Anolis sagrei: one gene and its partner. The protein of the gene in region 2 binds, or shares a complex with, the protein of the main gene of each other region. Links are inferred from orthologs where the notes say so. Each region holds a gene or a part of one and is shown on either strand. Other genes may lie near its edges. The genes, in order: NPTN and ATP2B1.

The links.
Region 1: the proteins of ATP2B1 (region 2) and NPTN are in contact, whole or in part, in a cryo-EM structure (PDB 6A69), measured with the Homo sapiens proteins. The link is inferred for Anolis sagrei from reciprocal best matches to the Homo sapiens genes ATP2B1 and NPTN. Residues at the interface, in NP_001353449.1 of Homo sapiens: Phe954, Asp955, Ile956, Asp957, Glu996, Arg997, Asn998, Val999, Glu1039, Gln1040, Leu1042, Trp1043, Ile1045, Phe1046, Met1049, Gly1050, Leu1052, Leu1053, Gln1056; in NP_036560.1 of Homo sapiens: Arg245, Ser246, Asn248, Arg332, Arg334, Pro339, Pro342, Phe343, Gly345, Ile346, Glu349, Ile350, Ile352, Leu353, Ile356, Ile357, Tyr360.

The regions. Positions count from the first base shown.
Region 1 is NC_090029.1:30,878,892-30,888,242, reverse strand, and holds the start of NPTN (neuroplastin), read right to left. Parts: upstream 3,962-9,351; 5' UTR 3,823-3,961; coding exon 3,711-3,822; intron 1-3,710. UniProt on the Homo sapiens protein: Probable homophilic and heterophilic cell adhesion molecule involved in long term potentiation at hippocampal excitatory synapses through activation of p38MAPK. May also regulate neurite outgrowth by activating the FGFR1 signaling pathway.
Region 2 is NC_090025.1:153,216,313-153,226,275, reverse strand, and holds the start of ATP2B1 (plasma membrane calcium-transporting ATPase 1), read left to right. Parts: upstream 1-6,210; 5' UTR 6,211-6,376; intron 6,377-6,672; exon of another isoform or gene 6,673-6,777; intron 6,778-9,963. UniProt on the Homo sapiens protein: Catalyzes the hydrolysis of ATP coupled with the transport of calcium from the cytoplasm to the extracellular space thereby maintaining intracellular calcium homeostasis.

The DNA of each region.
Region 1 (9,351 bases), on a different chromosome or scaffold from region 2:
ACCATTCAATGTCAATTAAGCTGACCAGTTTCATCATCCACACCTGCCTTCAGCAGAACAACCTATGAAGAGGCCTGCCATAGATGTAGGCAAAACGTCAGGAGAGAATGCTTCTGGAAATATGGCCAGACAGCCTGGAAAACACACAACAACCCAGTGATTCCAGCCGTGAAAGCCTTCAACAACCCTGAGATCATGTTTATTTTGTCGAAGGCTTTCATGGCTGGAATCACTGGGTTGGTGTAGGTTTTTCAGGCTATATGGCCATGTTCTAGAACTCACAACCTCTGAGGATGCTTGCTGTAGATGCAGGCGAAACATCAGGAGAGAATGCTTCTAGAATATGGCCATATAGCCCGAAAAACATACAACAACCCTTGTTTATTTTATTTATTTTCATGGTTTCCTTTATGAATTCCAGACAGGAAATTCAAACAGGCAGGAAGCAGCCAGGCTTTAAAGCTGCTAGAGTCTCAATGGTTCTTAACTATAAGTTCCCAGGTGTTTTGGCCTTCAACTCCCAGAAATCCTAACAGCTGGTAAACTGGCTGGGATTTCTGGGAGTTGTAGGCCAAAACTCCTGGGGAGGGGCCCACAGGTTGAGATCCACTGTAGCTAGACCAGGGGTCCTCAAACTAAGGCCCAGGGGCCGGATGCGGCCCTCCAAGGTCATTTACCTGGCCCTCGCTCAGGGTCAACCTAAGTCTGAAATGTCTTGAAAGCACCCAACAACAATCCTATCTCATCAGCCAAAAGCAGGCCTATACATCCCATTGAAATACTAATAAGTTTATATTAGTTAAAATTATTCTTCATTTTAATTATTGTATTGTTTTAAAGTGTTTTTTGCACTACAGATAAGATATCTGCACTGCGCATAGGAATTCATTCATTTTTTTCCTAATTATAATCCTGCCCACCAACAGTTTGAGGGATTGTGACCTGGCTCTCTGTTTAAAAAGTTTGAGGACCCCTGAGCTAGACAATTTAATGCTAATCAATTAAAAAATTAAATTAAATTAAAAAATTGATTGATTAGCCCAGCCACATGCACCATGGAGGACCTTCTTGCAGCAACACCAGAAGCACTCCAAGTGGCCAGAGACTGGTCAAAGGACATTTAATCAACTACCAAACTCACACATTTTGTATCTTCTCTGTTTGTTTGCTTTGTTCTGTTAGAAATGTAATACTGGCTGCCCTGAGACGAGAAATAAATAAATAAATAAAAAATTTAGAACTAAGGCTTTTGTGGCAGGAAGAAACAATCAGGGCCAGCTAACACCTCCCGACAAAAAGGATTCCCCCAGGCAGGAAGCAGCCAGGCTTTGAACCTGCAAGGCCATTCAATGCCATTCAATGCCAATCAATTCACACTTGCCTCCAGCAGAACAGAACAACCTCTGAGGGGGATGCCTGCCATAAATGTGGGCGAAACGTCAGGAGAGAATGCTTCTAGAATATGGCGATATAGCCCGAAAAACATGCCTGGGCAGGAAGAAACAATCAGGGCCAGCTAAAACCTCCTGACAAAAAGGATTCCCCCAGGCAGGAAGGAGCCAGGCTTTGAACCTGCAAGGCCATTCAATGCCAATCAAGATGACCAACATTCACCCTTGCCTCTAACATTACAACCTCTGAGGGGGATGCCTGCCATAGATGTGGGCGAAACGTCAGGAGAGAATGCTTCTGGAAATATATATATATAAATATATATGAGAAGACCGGTATACAACACTGCCAAATTAATAATAAATAAATAAATTGGGGGGGGGGGGGTTTGAAGACCCTCAAGCCCCCCCCCCTTCCCGTCTACATGCCTGGGCAGGAAGAAACAATCAGGGCCAGCTAACACCTTGCGACAAAAAGGATTCCCCCAGGCAGGAAGCAGCCAGGCTTTGAACCTGCAAGGCCATTCAATGCCAATCAATTCACACTTGGCTCCAGCAGAACAGAACAACCTCTGGGGGGGGGGGGGTGCCTGCCATAAATGTGGGCGAAACGTCAGGAGAGAATGCTTCTGGAAATATGGCTATAGCCTGAAAAACATGCCTGGGCAGGAAGAAACAATGAGGGCCAGCTAACACCTCCTGACAAAAAGGATTCCCCCAGGCAGGAAGCAGCCAGGCTTTGAACCTGCAAGGCCATTCAATGCCAATCAAGCTGACCAATTCCAACATTCACACTTGCCTCCTGGCTGCTTCCTGCCTGGGGGAATCCTTTTTGTCGGAAGGTGTTAGCTGGCCCTCATTGTTTCTTCCTGCCCAGGCATGTTTTTCGGGCTATATGGCCATATTCTAGAACTCACAGCCTCTGAGAATGCTTGCTGTAGATGCAGGTGAAACATCAGGAGAGAATGCTTCTAGAATATGGCCATATAGTCCGAAAAACATGCCTGGGCAGGAAGAAACAATGAGGGCCAGCTAACACCTCCTGACAAAAAGGATTCCCCCAGGCAGGAAGCAGCCAGGCTTTGAACCTGCAAGGCCATTCAGAAACAATCAGGGCCGGCTAACACCTTGCGACAAAAAGGATTCCCCCAGGCAGGAAGGAGCCAGGTTTTGAACCTGCAAGGACATTCAGAAACAATCAGGGCCAGCTAACACTTTGCGACAAAAAGAATTCACTCAGGCAGGAAGCAGCCAGGCTTTGAACCTGCAAGGCCATTCAGAAACAATCAGGGCTGGCTAACACCTTGCGACAAAAAGGATTCCCCCAGGCAGGAAGCAGCCAGGCTTTGAACCTGCAAGGCCATTCAGAAACAATCAGGGCCAGCTAACATCTTGTGACAAAAAGGATTCCCCCAGGCAGGAAGCAGCCAGGCTTTGAACCTGCAAGGACATTCAGAAACAATCAGGGCCAGCTAACACTTTGCGACAAAAAGGATTCCCTCAGGCAGGAAGCAGCCAGGCTTTGAACCTGCAAGGCCATTCAGAAACAATCAGGGCTGGCTAACACCTTGCGACAAAAAGGATTCCCCCAGGCAGGAAGCAGCCAGGCTTTGAACCTGCAAGGCCATTCAGAAACAATCAGGGCCAGCTAACACCTCCTGGCAAAAAGGATTCCCCCAGGCAGGAAGGAGCCAGGCTTTGAACCTGCAAGGCCATTCAATGCCAATCAAGCTGACCAACATTCACACTTGCCTCCAGCAGAACAACCTCTGAGGATGCTTGCTGTAGATGCAGACGAAACATCAGGAGAGAATGCTTCTGGAAATATGGCCATATAGCCCGAAAAACATGCCTGGGCAGGAAGAAACAATCAGGGCCAGCTAACACCTCCTGACACAAAGGATTCCCCCAGGCAGGGAGCAGCCAGGCTTTGAACCTGCAAGGCCATTCAATGCCAATGAATTCACACTTGCCTCCAGCGGAACAGAACAACCTCTGGGGGGGGGGGGGATGCCTGCCATAAATGTGGGCGAAATGTCAGGAGAGAATGCTTCTGGAAATATAGCCAGGCAGCTGGGAACACTCAGAGCGACCCATACATAGCATTATATAATATGAATCATGCCAGTCTCCTTGGGGGCAAAGTCACAATGTGGAGGGCTTCCCCAGACTCCCCTTGGTGGGGTCCCCAAAGGGGCGCCCTGACCTCCCCTCAAGGCCCGCCTCCTCCCCCGCCAGCGCCTGTCAATCACCCCCTCAGAGAGGCCCTCCCCGCCATGGCCGCCTCTCTCTCCTGCCTTCCTTCTTTCCCTCCCTCACCGTTCTGGGCGCCGGTCGGCGTCGGGAAAAGGCTGCCTGCCGTCGCCAAGAGGAAGGAGAGAGCCGCCGGGAGCGGCCCGCATCGCCGCCGCCGCTGCATCATCATCATCATCGGGAGGCTGGAAAGGACGACGCCGGAGAAGGCGAGAAGGAGGAAGGCGAGGAGCCAAGGAAAGAGAGGCGCCCGCTCTCCCCCTCAGGGCTGTTCTACCGCAGCGCCGGAGCCTCGCGAGAACTGCGCCCCCACCTCTCGCGAGAAGCACCAACACCATCCAATAAATAAATAAAGGAATAAGGAGATGCGGGAGAAGGAGGAGGAGGAAGGGGGCGGGGCCTGGCCAGGGGAAGCCACGCCCCTTCTCGCCCTCTCCCGCCCGCCCAGCCTCACCGTGTCACGTGACAGCTCCTTCAGCAATGCGGGTTCAAGGCTTCTTCTTCTTTTTTTTTGGAATGCGAAAAATCCGGGTTGATCTAAAACGGATCCGAGATTCCCCCCCTTACACTGCATTAGATGCTCATTGTAGACACCAAGAATGCACTGCAAGGCAGTTAAGCAGCATTACATGGGGCTGCACTGTCATACACATGCATTATTACCTCTGCTATGTATTTTTATTAGTATTACATTGTAGATTTTATGTATTATATTAGTATTTGTATTATGAGTGTTGCATTACCTATTATATGTATTGTATTAGCATTAGTATGAATTATTACTATTACATTCCATATTAAATGTATTATATTTGTATTACTATGTATTATTAGTATTACATTCCATAATATATATATTATATTCATATTCTCATTAGTATTAGTATGTATGTATTATTACCATTTGTATATATAATTAGTATTACATTACCTATTATATGTATTATACTACTATTAGTATGTATTATTACTTATATGTATTATATTAGCATTAGTATGTATTAGTATTACATTCCATATTAAATGAATTATATTTGTATTATTATATATTATTAGTATTACATTACCTATTATATGTATTATATTAGCATTAGTTTGTATTAGTATTACATTCCATATTATATGTATTATATTCATATTAGTATGAATTATTAGTGTTACATTCCATATTATATGTATTATATTCATATTTATATGTATTATGAGAATTATATTCCATATTAAATGCATTATATTAGTATTGGTATGTATTATTAGTATTACATTCCATATTATATGTATTATATTCATATTAGTATGAATTATTAGTATTACATTCCATATTATATGTATTATATTCATATTTATATGTATTATGAGAATTATATTCCATATTAAATGTATTATATTAGTATTGGTATGTATTATTAGTATTACATTCCATATTATATGTATTATATTAGCATTACTATGTATTATTAGTATTACATTCCTTATTATATGCATTATATTCATATTTATATGTATTATGAGAATTATATTCCATATTAAATGTATTATATTAGTACTGGTATGAATTATAAGTGTTACATTCCATATTATATGTATTATACTAGTATTAGTATGTATTATTAGTATGACATTCCATATTATATGTATATTAGTATTAATATGCATTATTAGTATTACATTCCATATTAAATGTATTATATTCGTATTAGTATGTGCTATTAGTATTACATTCCATATAATATGAATTATACTAGTATTAGTATGTATTATTAGTATTACATTACACATTATATGTATTATATTCGTATTAGTATGCACCGAGTGTGCCAGTGACCACTGGGACCACCTGGACTGGTTTATGCCAGAGCCTTTGCAGTTCGATTTTAAGGTCTTGATAGCGGCTGAGTTTTTCCTGTTGCTTTTCCTCAATGCGACTGTCACCCGGTATGGCGACATCAATCATCCAGACTTTTTTCTTTTCCACAATCGTGATGTCTGGCGTGTTGTGTTCCAAAACTTTGTCAGTCTGGATTCAAAAGTCCAACAGTATTTTTGCGTGTTCATTTTCCACTCCCTTTGTAGGTTGATGATCCCTTTACCAGTTCTTGACTCCTGGCAGGTGGTACTTGTGACATTAGTTCCAGTGAATCATTTGGCCCACAGAGTTGTGCCTCTGTTTGTAGTCCGTCTGTGCAATTTTCTTGCAGCAGTTGTGGAGATGATCCATGGTTTCATCAGCTTCCTTGCACAGTCTGCATTTTGAGTCATCTGCTGATTTTTCAATTCTGACCTTAACTGCATTTGTTCTGGTGGTAGTGGTGGTGGTGGTGGTTGTTGTTGTTGTTGTTATTATTATTATTAGCCTTCTCTGTTAAAGAGTACAGGAGCCACACCAAACTGTAACTTCCAGGATTCGGTAGCATTGAGCCATAGCAGTTGAAGTGCTGTCAAACTGCATTAATTATCCGGTGTAGATGCATCTTTTGAGTTACAGATATATATTTGGGCTAAATCAGAATCCAACAGCAGGTGGCGCAGATGGGCTCCTTGAGTTCAGAGGAGAGGATTCACACTTGAAATAATATGCTGAGCAAAAGAAAGAGAAATATTCCTGTATGAGGAATTGATAGGACTGCATAGTATAGCAGAATGAAAGCTTTGGAAAGGACTGCAAGGATTACGTACTCCAAGTCCCTGCTGTACAGGAACATATATAAATACAGGCATTCCAAAATCCCCCAAACTGATGCAGTTCGACATGGCTTTCTTTGTATCGGCTCAATGCTCTGGCATCCTGGGATTTGTAGTTTGGCGAGGCAACAAAGACCTTGTAAACTACGACTCCCATGGTTGCATAGAATTGAACCAAGACAGGTAAAGTAGTGAAAAATTGCATTAATTCTACAACGTAGAGGCACCCCTACACTTCTGGTACCAAGAATTTTGGATAAGGGATACTCAACCTAGCGCCCAGACACGCATCAAGGAACATGAAAGGCACTGCAGACTACTTCAACCAGAGAAGTCAGCCATAGCAGAGCACCTGATGAACCAGCCTGGACACAGCATATTATTTGAGAACACAGAAATGCTGGACCACTCTCACAGCCACCATGTCAGACTACACAGAGAAGCCATTGAAATCCACAAGAAGCATGTGGACAATTTCAACAGAAAGGAGGAAACCATGAAAATGAACAAAATCTGGCTACCAGTATTAAAGAACTCTAAAATTATAACAGCTAAACAACAGAGAGGAAGAAACCAGGCACAGATTAACACCTCCCAGCAACAGATTTTCCCAGGTTCAGGCAGGCCTTCAAATGCTAATGAAGGTGATTAGCTAAACATTCACACCTAACTGCAGCAGGGAAGAACTCCTTGCCCCACCCCAGCCATTCCACAGATATATAAACCCATTGTCCTAATTCCAACAGACCTCTACCTCTGAGGATGCTTGCCATAGATGCAGGCGAAACGTCAGGAGAAATGCCTCTAGAACATGGCCATATAGCCCGAAAAAACCCACAAGAACTGAGATACTCAACCTGTTTATTACCCACAGCCATTGTTCTGTGGTGTCTCGCAGGATAGAGTATTGTCCCCCATGTTGTTTAACATCTACATGAAGCCATTGGGTGAGATTATTGGGGGTTTTGGAGTTCGATGGTATCTGTATGCAGATGATATCCAACTCTATTACTCCTTTTCCAGTAGATGCTAAGGAGGCTGTCCAGGTCCTGAACTGGTGCCCGGCCGCTGTGACAGTCTGGATGAGGGCGAACAAACTGAAGTTGAATCCAGACAAGATAGAGGCACCCCTGGTCAGTCGCAAGACCGAACAAAGTTAAGGGTCTCAGCCTGGGCTGGATGGGGTTACACTCCCCTTGAAGACAGTTTGGGGGTCCTCCTGGATTTATCGCCAAGCCTGGAGTCTCAGTTTGTGGTGGTGGCTGAGGGGAGTTTCGCACAATTAAAACCTGTGCGCCAGCACCTTGCGAAGTCAGCTTTGGCCGCGGTGGTCCATGCTCTCATTACATCCAGGATAGATTACCGCAATGCATTCTACATGTAGTTGCCCTTGAAGACTGTTTGGAAGCTTCAACTAGTCAAATGAAAGGCAGCCAGGTTAATAACTAGGGCGGCATACAGGGAGCATACAACTTCCATGTTGCGTCAGCTCCAATGGCTGCCGGTTTGCTAGCGGGCACATTTCAAAGTGCTGGCTTTGGCCTATTAAGCCCTAAATGGCCTCGGACCTGTTTACCTGTCCGAACGCATTTCCCTTTTTGAACCACTGTGGAAACTAAGATCTTGTGTGGAGGAACTGCTCTCAGTCCCATCACTATCACAGGTGCGTTTGGTGGGGACGAGTGGCAGGGCCTTCTCAGTGATTGCCCCCCGGTTATGGAACTTCCTTCTTGGCAATATGAGATCAGCCCCCTCTCTCCTATCCTTCAGAAGGGTAGTGAAGGCCTGGCCTTTGGGGCAGGGCAAGGAGGCAAAAGGGTGTCCTGAGATAGTTTTTAAACAACCGATTTTAATGTGGATATACCGTATATACTTGAGTATAAGCTGACCCGAATATAAGCCGAGGCACCTAATTTTACCACAAAACTCTGGGAAAACATATTGATTTGAGTATCAGCCCAGGGTGAGAAATGCAGCAGCTACTGGTCAATTTCAAAATAAAAAGAGATACCAATAAAATTATGTTATTTTTTAAAATACTTTTCATTGAATTTTTTGGTGAATGTAATAAAAGAATATATATATAAAAGAATATATATATAAAAGAATATATATATAAAAGGACATATATATATATTGAGGCATCAGTAGGTTATATTCAAAAAATAGGCATCAGTAGGTTGAATATTTACATAAAACTAATTTAAGACTGTCCGATTCTGATGAAACCATTATTCTCACCTTAAGACTGTCCAACTCTGATGAAACCATTATTCTCACCTTCTTCAATGTAAATGTACTTACACATCCTTCCAATAATAATAGAGTAAAATAATAAATGTAATATTAAGAGTAAAACAATAAATGGAATAAAACAATAGTAAATACGGTAAAATAATAAGAGTAAAATAATATATATAAATAAAAATGTAATGTTCGTTTGTGGGATTAACATAACTCAAAAACCACTGGATGAATTCACACCAACACCTACAATCAAAGAGCATTCTGAACTCCAGCAATGATGGAAATGAACCAAACATGGCATACAGGACTCCCATGACCAACAGAAAACACTAGATGGGTTTGGTAGGCATTGGCCTTCAGCTCGGGAGTTGTAGTTCACCTAAATCCAGAGAGCACTGTGGACTCAAAAAATGATGGATCTGTACCAAACTTGGCACAAATATTCCATATGCCCAAATATGAACACAGATGGAGTGTGGGGGAAATAGACCTTGACATTTGGGAGTTGTAGTTGCTGGGATTTATAGTTCACCTACAATCAAAGAGCATTCTGAACCCCACCAACAACAGAATTGGGGCAAACTTCCCACACAAAACCCCCATACTTAAGGCCATCCAGTCCAACTTCTTCACCAGGGCAAGAAAATGTAATCAAAGCCCTCCTGACAAAGAGCCATCCAGCCATAGATATAGATAGATAGATATGATTCACACAGAGAGAGATATAGTATTACAGATTTGAAAGGGACCCCTAAAGAAGGACAATGATACGTTGCGT
Region 2 (9,963 bases):
ATTCCCATGGGGTCAGGAAATATCCCAGAAGACAATAATGTATGGTTGTTTGTTTGGTTTTTTTAAAAAACAATGTGATGATGAAAGGTAGTATTACAAACCATTGACAAATTTTCCTGTGCAAATCACTCTGAAACGAATAGGATTGCTCAAGAGTGGAACTACCGTACTATATAGCTTCCATATACAGTGATACAGATAGGTCTCCTTTATGTAGAAATCTTAAATACTCCAAACCCCTCCAAAGACCACTGCCTCTTAGGAAATGGGGTTATTTATACATCCAGAACCTGCCAATAGTGGTGTGCAGGCAGGCTTTAAACCAGACTATGAAGGCAAGCATGAAGCAATCCTATTGGTTGCCACTTGTATTGAGCCTAGAGATAATTAAAAAGAATAATAAGGGAGAAAGCATTTCCCCCTCCCTTCCTGGCTACTTTGCTAAAATGGCAGAAAGTGTGCTGACAGCTAGGAAAATGTCTGGTTTTTTTTTACAAGGGTCTTTTCATAAGTGAAGTCCTCTCGCCTTCCCCCTTTTCTCTTTCCCCTGTCAGGGTTACTTCAGGAGAGATGCAGCAGATGTTGGACTAGCCTCCTTTCCTTCATTCATACGTATTCCAAATGCCAAAACACCTGAAATCTGAAAAATGTATGGTCCCAAGCATTTCAGATAAGGGGGACCCTATCTGTATTTGTAACAGAGTTTCCTGGAGACTATGCTTCTTAGCATAGTGTACCTCCCCAGGAGACATTGCAAGAGGCATTTTGACTGTTAGAGACCCACTTAGCTCAGAAAAGGAGTAAATTACTTCATGTAGCAATTAATTATGGCAAACTATTCTTGCTGACAAGAAACTAACATGAAGACAGTAATCTCTACTCCCACCTTCTCAAGAGGAAAGCATTATGTGATAAACCCTTTTCTCTGCCCACCGTTGCAGGGTAATAAAGAAGTAATAAAAGAAGGCTGAGGCAACCTTGTCAAATTAATCTGATAGCACTTTTTCTTCCAGATTTTATAATATGATTACAAGTTCACATCAGAAATACTGAAGGGAATGTCTTTAAAAGTGCAGATGTATAAGCACTGTTTCTGTACTAAGCTTAAGAAAGGATTTGTACTGATTTGCACAACTAATCTCTACTATTTTTCTTAAATCTTACTTATTGGCAAGACATATACAGTTCTAGATTACTTGTTAAGATGAACTAAATAGGAGTAAAGTTTTGGCAATTAAGACTCCTGTGGCTATGGTTTCATTATCTGAATGTCTCTGTAGAGTTCTGCTACAAAATTCCTCACAATACAAATACATCACTTGATAGGAGTGGGGTTTACTGCATATAAAAACATATAGGATTTGTTTTTTGTTTCTACAATGTTCTACATTGTACTTAGATACATGGTAAACAAATTGCTTTAATCAATGTAGATCTGATCACTGAAAAGCAGCTCCAAAGTTTACTCTGTAACCTAAAATTGCCTTGTCAAAATGTGGAACAGCATATAACCAAAACTTACAGACTCCTCTATGGTGCAGGTAAATAATAATTCACCTTTATATTCAGGTTATGTCATTACATTTAAAGCCTCTTAAGAAGTCATCCTTTTACTTATGGCCTCTGGTAGAGAAATTATGTATGCCAATTATTTATCTTCTTTCTCTTTGAGGGAGTGGGTAAAAAGCTTAATTATTTCCATTATGTTCTATGGATTGCACAAAGACTGTCCCCATCACTATTTTAATCTGTTTGTCTACACTAGGATTCTCTATTGTCATTAAGAACAACTTCTAAAAGCACTATTGTTCAAACACTTAGCAATGTTTGTATCTTTCGCATTTGAACATGTCCACTGAAGCATGTGCATAAATACCTGCTAAATAAGTCAACATTTTATACTATAACATTTTATAAAATGGGCTGCTGTCCATAGAATCTTATGTCACATAAAAATGGTTAGCCTTTAAGTTGCCATCACACTCTTTGTTATTATTTCCAGTGGAAAGGAAAAAGAAAATATCTGGCAACTAGAAGATGTGAGTGGAACACATCTGCTTGAGTCAGAAAACTGTTTCTTCAAATGCAGTTTTCAAATGTTGGGGAAGGCTTGCTGAGTTACAATGGCCAGTACAAATGAGAACACCGAGCTGCAGAGGGATTGAAAAAGAATTTTGCATGATCTGAGGATGTATTTTATTCATACTGGGAAGGCATGCAAGAAAATCCCATAATTTAGTCTGCAGGATGCATCTGTTTCATTGTTTTGATTTTTTTCAATTGACCTAAATATATCAACTGTGAGGTAATACTTAGCTGCATTCAGTCAGGAAACGAATATTGCAGTGGTTCCTCCTGTCTGATTGCATTCTTCAATGAAAGACTTTTTAAAGTGTCAAACTTATGTCAAACAAGAGTGACAGAGCATGAGACCAAGCCAAACAAAGAATAATATAGCAATAATAACTGAACTGATAAGATCTTTTAGATTCATTTGTTTATAGGGACTCAGACCCTACAGCTCAGCAGAAGCTTGCCTTGCTCTTCCTTCACAGCACAATGGCCTTGAACAGTCACAGATGCCATATTGTATGTATAGATACAATGCAAAAGGAAATGGTCTAACTGAGGCCCAAGTCCAATTGAATTAGCCATCTTTAAACTCATTGGCCTCAATCCAATTAATTCTTGCTAGACATACTGACACAGTGGGAATTTAATAAAATACTAAAATAAGCTACATTAATTCAATGGGCCCACTTAAATTGGGATTAGCTATTGGATTTAGGCCACTGCAGTTTACAGGCTTAAGTATGCCTAACTGCACCAGACTCAGATTTATGATTGAACTGAAGAAGATAGGATGATAAGCTCAGAAAACAAAACAGCAGGTTTGTTTGGGCTTGCTCATCAACTTTTTAAATATTAGTTTTGATGTATGAACACATGCAACTTTGCTAGATTGTACATTACAGTTTTTTTTAGTTTCTTCTGTGTTGTTGCTGCTGCTGTTCTGAATTACTTATAAATTATGTCCACCCTAAAATGAACATGTCATGAGGATTTCTTGAAAAGATTTGTTCAAAGTGGGGTTGCCTTTCTCTGAGTTCAAGTTGATTTGTCCAAAGTCAGCAAGTGATTTTGATGGCTGAGCAAGCATCCAAACTCTGGTCTCCCAGAGTCCTAATACTATATTCATGTTAGCTCCCACATATTGATGTAAGACTAAGATTGAACCAGCCAGATGTCGTTGCGAGTTGGACTATCACTCTGAAGGCCAGGGTTCGAATCCCCATTTAGCCATGGAAATATATGAGATTGGTCACGTTACACTCTCTCAGCCTCAGAGGAAGGCAAAGGCAAGCCCCTCTAAACAATTTTTGCCAAGAACACTGTTAGGCAAAAGTAAAAAAATACTTGGAGGTACACAACAACCTGTTCTATGCTCTCTACTGGAATGTTTTCATTCTAGTTCACTATGAATCTGACAGATCAGTTTTGAACATTCAGGTAATTATTATCCATTCTCATATTGCCTAATGCCTAATTTAATAGGGAGTAGTGCTGGGTTTTTTTAGTGGCATTTCCCCTTCTTTTGCATTATCAGTAGGATCAAAGGGAATAAAGGATTTTAAAAAATATCAATAATACTTTCTTATATTTGATTGTATGACACAGCTCTTTCATTCATTTCTGTAATGAGAAAAAATATTCATATTCATATTTGTGAGAAACCATCTAATTTACCTGCAGAAAAACTTCTGCAGAAAAACATGAATATTTCAAAATGCAGTATTCTTTATATAAAACCGTGACTGCAAAAATTCATCTTATCCTTTAAGAAAATTAGGGATCTAAGGAGGTTTTGCTTAAGTACCAGAAGGCTAGGACTCGCTGAGAAACAATGTAAAATCACTATAGGAAGCATATGTTTTAACAAACTTACTCAATGAACTGCCAACACTTCTAGGTCAGATTGCAGGAGATACATCTGGTTACATCCCAAATAGTCTACTGCAACGCACTCTATGTTGGGTTGCCTTTTAAGACTGTTTGGAAGCTTCAAGTGGTCCAATGCCGGGAGGCAGACTGGGGTACAGGGAGCACACAACCCCATTACACCAGCTCCACTGGCTGCCAGTCTGCTACTGAGTGCTGGTTTTAGACTATAAAGCCCCAAACAGTTCTGGCCCAGCTTACGAGTCCGAATGTATCTTCCTCTATGAACCATTTCAGAGGTTAAGATTGTCCTGGGAGGCCCTGCTCTCAGTCCCAACTCCTTTGCAGGCACGACTGGTGGGGACTAAACGGTGCCTTCTCAGTGGTGGCCCCTCATCTGTGGAACTCCCTCTCCAACGAAATCAGATCTGTTCCTTCTCTCTTGATCTTCAGGAAAAAAACTCAAGATGTGGCTTTGGGACCAAGCTTTTGACAAATAATTAGAGCAGTGCAGTAAGAGACAACGAATCAATCTGATTGACAAATGGAATGGCCCTGGATTATATTTCGGATGGCGCGATTTTAATTAATGCTTTAATTATTCCTGTTTTAATTTTTTGGTTTTAATTGTAATGGTTTATTTGTTATATGTTCTGTATGGCATTGAATTGCTGCCTGTTGTAAGGCCACCTTGAGTCCCCTCTGCAGTGAGAAAGGCGGGATACAAATATGGTAAATAAATAAAAATAAATCTGATGAAGTAGCTTCGTTCTCCCTAAGCACAAGTTGAGGCCTTTTATCTGTTACCTTCCCACAGAGCGGTACCTATTGATCTACTCACATTTGATGTATTGTCGAATGTGCGGAATCACTGGGTTGTTGTAGGTTTTACGGGCTGTATGGCCATGTTCTAGAAGCATTCTCTCCTGATGTTTTGCCTGTATCTGTGGCAAGCATCCTCACAACCTCTGAGGATGCTTGCCAGAGATGCAGGCAAAACTCCAATAGAGAATGCTTCTAGAACATGGCCATACAACTCGAAAAACCTATAACAACCTACTCACGTTTGCATGTTTTTGGATTGCAGGGTTGGCAGAAGCTGGGCCTAACAGCAGGAGCTCATCCTGCTCCCCGGATTCAAACCACCGACCTTTCGGTCAGCAATACGTGCCACCGGGGCCATGTGTGTGGGTGTATACATATATGCAAAATATGAGTGAAAAATCCCAAACACTTCTGGTTCCAAACCTTTGGGGAGAACCCCAGAATTGAGTGTTTTTACTGTTCAGTGGCGTCTCTGAGTGTAAACGGTTACGCTTCTCACTGACGTTGCTGGGCATTAAACCTGCCTGACAGTGCACCCACACTGTCGAATTAATGCTGTTTGACACCACTTGGAAGACCTTAAGCGGCTGAGAGGGGAAAGGAAGGGGCCTGAGTCTGAGAGGAATGGTGGGAGTTGAAGTCCAAAACACCTGGAGGGAGTGAGGGAGGGAGGGCCCAAGTCTGCCCATGCCTGACGTAGACGGACCCTGAACGAGGCTGGCTCCAGCAGGCTGCCCTCCGCGGGGTTCTTACGTCCTACTCGGGAAGGCGAGGCCATGACTCAACACGCCGCGATTCGTCATCTCGGTTCTGACGGAGGGGAGACGCCAGCTGCTCCCCCCGCGCGATGGGGTGGGTGGGGGGAGAAGGGAAGCTCCTCCGTTTCCTTCAGGGAGGCCTGAGGGGGAAGGAGCCCCCAAGCCCTGTCTTTGCCCCTCCCCCACCCCTTCTTGCGTGCTGACAGGAGCTGCCGCCGCCGTGCTTTTCAGGGATTTGCGCGTTTGTAGTCGTTTGACCCCGAAGGCTTTCCGTCCACGAAGTGACCAACTCCTACCTTCCTCCCCCCCCCCCCCGTCCACCCACCCCGCGCGCCCTCATATGAGCACGCGCGCGCTGATAGAAACCGACGGCGCGCTCTGCTGGCGAGCGTTCCCCGCTCTTGCCGTGGGGCGGGGGCGAGTGGGAGCGTGGTCAAGCCACGGCAAAGGAGCGAGAGAGAGAGAGAGAGACAAGGAGGGAGAGCGCCCCCCTCACCGCGCTCCCAGCAAAGTCAACGACCCGAAGCCCGCCGGGCCCCATCAAATGCCTGGGCCCGGCCCACTGACGTCATGGAAACAAGCACGTCAGGCGACGGCAGCCAATCGGAAGAGGGGAAGGAGGCGGGGAGAGAGGAGCGGGCCCCGCCCCTCTCGGGCACCAATCCCAAACCCCGCCCCTTTCGCTCGCGCTCTCTCTCTCTCTCTCTCGCTCCCCCGCCCCTCCTCCTCCTCCTCTCTCCTCACGCCCTCGAGGGGCTCCCTCCTCCGCCGACCCTGTCACGTGACGCCGACTGGGCCACGCTCGGAACCTTGCCTGAGGTGGGCGAAGAAGAAAAAAAAACAGAGGCGCAGAAGTGAGTGGAGTGGGTTGGAGCGACCCCTTGTTCCCCTTGCGCGTGGGAGGTGGAGGTAGAGGTGGCCCCGCCCCCCTTTGGTGGCTGGAGGCGGCGAGGAAGAGCCGGCGCTTCTGTACGGGTCCTGAGAGGGGGGCAAAAGGACGCCGCCTCGCAGGGCTGGCGAGGGCGAGGCGGAGGCGCTTTGGCGGGGGAGCCTGCTGCCGAGGGCGGGGCCTTCCTCTCTCCTCCCTCCCTCCTCCGCCCGCCCTCCCTCCCCGGTCGCAGGCGGGCTCGGCGGCGGCGGCGGCTCGGGCGCTCGCTCCGGGGTGGGGTGGGGGGGACCTGCGGTTGGTTGGTTGCTTGTTTGGTCGGGCGAGGCGAGGCAAGGCAAGGCGAAGCAGCGCGTGGAGGAACCTGAGGTAAGCATGGCTGAGGCGAAGGGAGAGGAAGGGCGCGGAGGGCGGCGTCGGGTTGGGGCTCCCTCGGAGACACAGAGAGAGAGAGAGGCGCAGGTGGTGGAGTCCGCAGGCCCCGCGGGGATTAGCCAAAGCGGAGGAGGAGGAGGAGGAGGATGAGCAGCCCCCGCCGGTGCAGCAGGGCCTGCGCCTCCTCGCCTCTCCCCACCGCCTCCTCTTCCTCTTCCTCAGTGGGCCACGGGGAGCCCACGCCGCGGTGTGTGACCTTGAGGGCAGCCACTTGCCTCCACCTGGAAGGAGGGAGGAAGGGAACGGAGGGAGAGGAAGGAAGGGGGAATGGATGTGGGGACTGGTAGGTTGCCCTTTCTGGTCTCCCCAACCAACCCCCCTTTTTAACCCCCCTCCCCCTCCCCAGGTGCGCATTATTTTTCCTCTTCGGAAGACCCCCGCCGGTGAAGGTGTTTCTTGGGTCTGCTGGGTTAAGTAGCCGGGATTAGGCGGACGCTGCTGCACGGCATTCTCATCCCCAACAGCCTCGGGAGTTTATTATATTCACATACACACGCACACAAACACACATATATGTATATATATAGAAAGAGCACACTCAGAAATTCCTGGTGTGTGGCTGTCGTCCACACATATGTACATATGTAAACGCGCGCACACAGCTGGGATTATATATTAGAGAGGAAACAGAAATGGTGTGTGTGTGTGTATGTATGTATAGACAGATAGATACTACCTGTACACATGTAAATACACGTAGCTGGGATTATATATTTGAGAGAGAACAGATAGAAATACCTTGTGTGTGTGTATATGTATGTATGTATATACCATCCAAACATATCTACAGGATTACTAGAGAGAGAGAGAGAACAACCTGCTGTTTGTGTATATATGTAGTGCCTGTACATAGGTAAATACACACACATAGCTGGAATCATATATTAGCGAGAAAACACATAGAAATACCTGGGGTGTGTGTATATAGCGCCCACACATATACATATGTAAATACACATAGCTGAGATTCTATATTGGAGAGAGAAAACACATAGAAATACCTGGTGTGTTTGTGTATAGCACCCACACATATGTATATGTGGAAGCACACATATAACTGGGATTATATATTAGAGAGAAAGCACATAGAAATACCTGGTGTGTGTGTGTGTGTGTATAGCACCCACACCTGTAAATATGTAAACACACACACATAGCTGAGATTCTATATTAGAGAGAGAAAACATGTAGAAATGCCTGGTGTGTGTGTGTGTGTGTGTATAGCACCCACACATATGTATATATGTAAACATATATATACCTGGGATTATATATTAGGGAGAGAGAGAACACATTGAAATCCCTGGTGTGTATGTATATTTAGCACATATATGTCATATATAAAGACACACACCACAGGGACTATACACACACACACATGCTTACATGCACACACAGTGTGTACATACAGTATCTCTCCTCCTATCCAGGAGCTAGACACTGGTTTTCTCAGCTGTGCATATAAAGGGTTCTGGAAATGGACGTCTGAGCCTTGAATTCAGGTCTCCAGGGCAGTCAGAATAAAGAGAAAGGGGTGGCTTTCCTCTCCCACCTTCTGAGCCTCTTGCGCCATCCACACTCAGGAAGGCATGAGAATAATTTTTAAAAGCAGGGGGATGGCTATGCTTCCCCTCTTTTCTGCATGACTACTCTCTCACTGGTTCGTCAAAGGGTTGATGTGCTTTATAAACTGGCTAAGTAAAACCCTGTGAGAATGCATGAGGTTGCAGTAAGTCTGTTTGCTGTGTGGAGGTATGCACATATGCGCGCCGAAGTGTATTGCTGTTATGAACTCTGATAAGGGATGTCAGCTGCGTCCCCAGATGAATGCAGCTTGGGCTAGGGAGTGTGTATCAGAACAGCTTTTGGGTGATGTATTCCTTTGGATCTCATGAGCCTCGTGTCTTTACTGCAGGCCAAGTGGTACTCCATACCTTTGGTTGTTTCAGCACCAGGAGTTCAGGAGGAAGGGAGTATGATGAGGGGTGAGGTGGAGAGTGACTGTTGCTGGCTGTACTTCATACTTCTCTCCAGCAGTGCCTATATAAAATGGTACTTGGAAGATGGCTAAATGAGAATACCTTCATACATTCATCTCATAAACAGCGGGCACATTTAACATTTAAGGCTGTGGTATTGGACAGCAACATTAATAGGAACTGATAAAAGTTGGGAGTGTCTGACCTTGGTGTTTCTAATATGTGTTGTAGCTCCTAATGTAAGAATTATACAGTTTCACTAAAACAAGGTAGGAAGTGCTTAGCTGAAATATTTCTCTCTTCTTGGCCTGTGCCTTTGATCCAAATATGTTTTAAAATGTTCTGAGTAGTTGTCATTTTGTCTGTGCCACAGGTCTTTTCATCTACTGAGAAAGGTAAATTTAAAAAGTATGAGCTATTATATGTGGAGTATAACAATGATTTCATTGACACACAGACTAACACATTTTATATTTTTCATTGTAAATAACTAATATCCAAATTTGGGTTGCTTGGCTTTTAAACAGTTGATGTAGCATAATGCATCTTATTTCTGTATACACACTTATTTTCCTTATACATGTCACTGTTATATTAGCCTTCACCCAGTTTGGAATTTTGGGATAAACAGAGGAAGACAATTGGACAGCTCTCCTGAACAAATATTGCAGAAACAACCTCTGTGATAGGGTCCAAAATTACTTGAAGGCACATGGCGATGACATAAATTAGCATGTAAAGTTCATGTGAACTATAAATACAAAATACTGCTATGTCATGAAAGGCGAATGCTCTAGATATGTTCTGCAATGTATCTTGTTGAGAAGCCTTTGAACGGTGTGGTACACAAACATAAGTTATTGACAATATATTTAAACTAATTGTGACTAGAAGGAATGCAAGCCTTCAGTCTATGTATGTGGAAAGGGATATCATAGGAACATGTATGTTCCAGAAGCACACACTTACAGCCATTATACTCATTAGGATCTAACCTTATACTGTGGCTAATAGTTGGAAATTGAAAGGAGTTTGAAATGTGTGCCAATAGAACATTATAATTATAATTTATACATTATAATTTATTTTGCTGCTCAGCAATAGCAAGACATTTTGGAATGAGGCAAAGTCAGTGTATAAT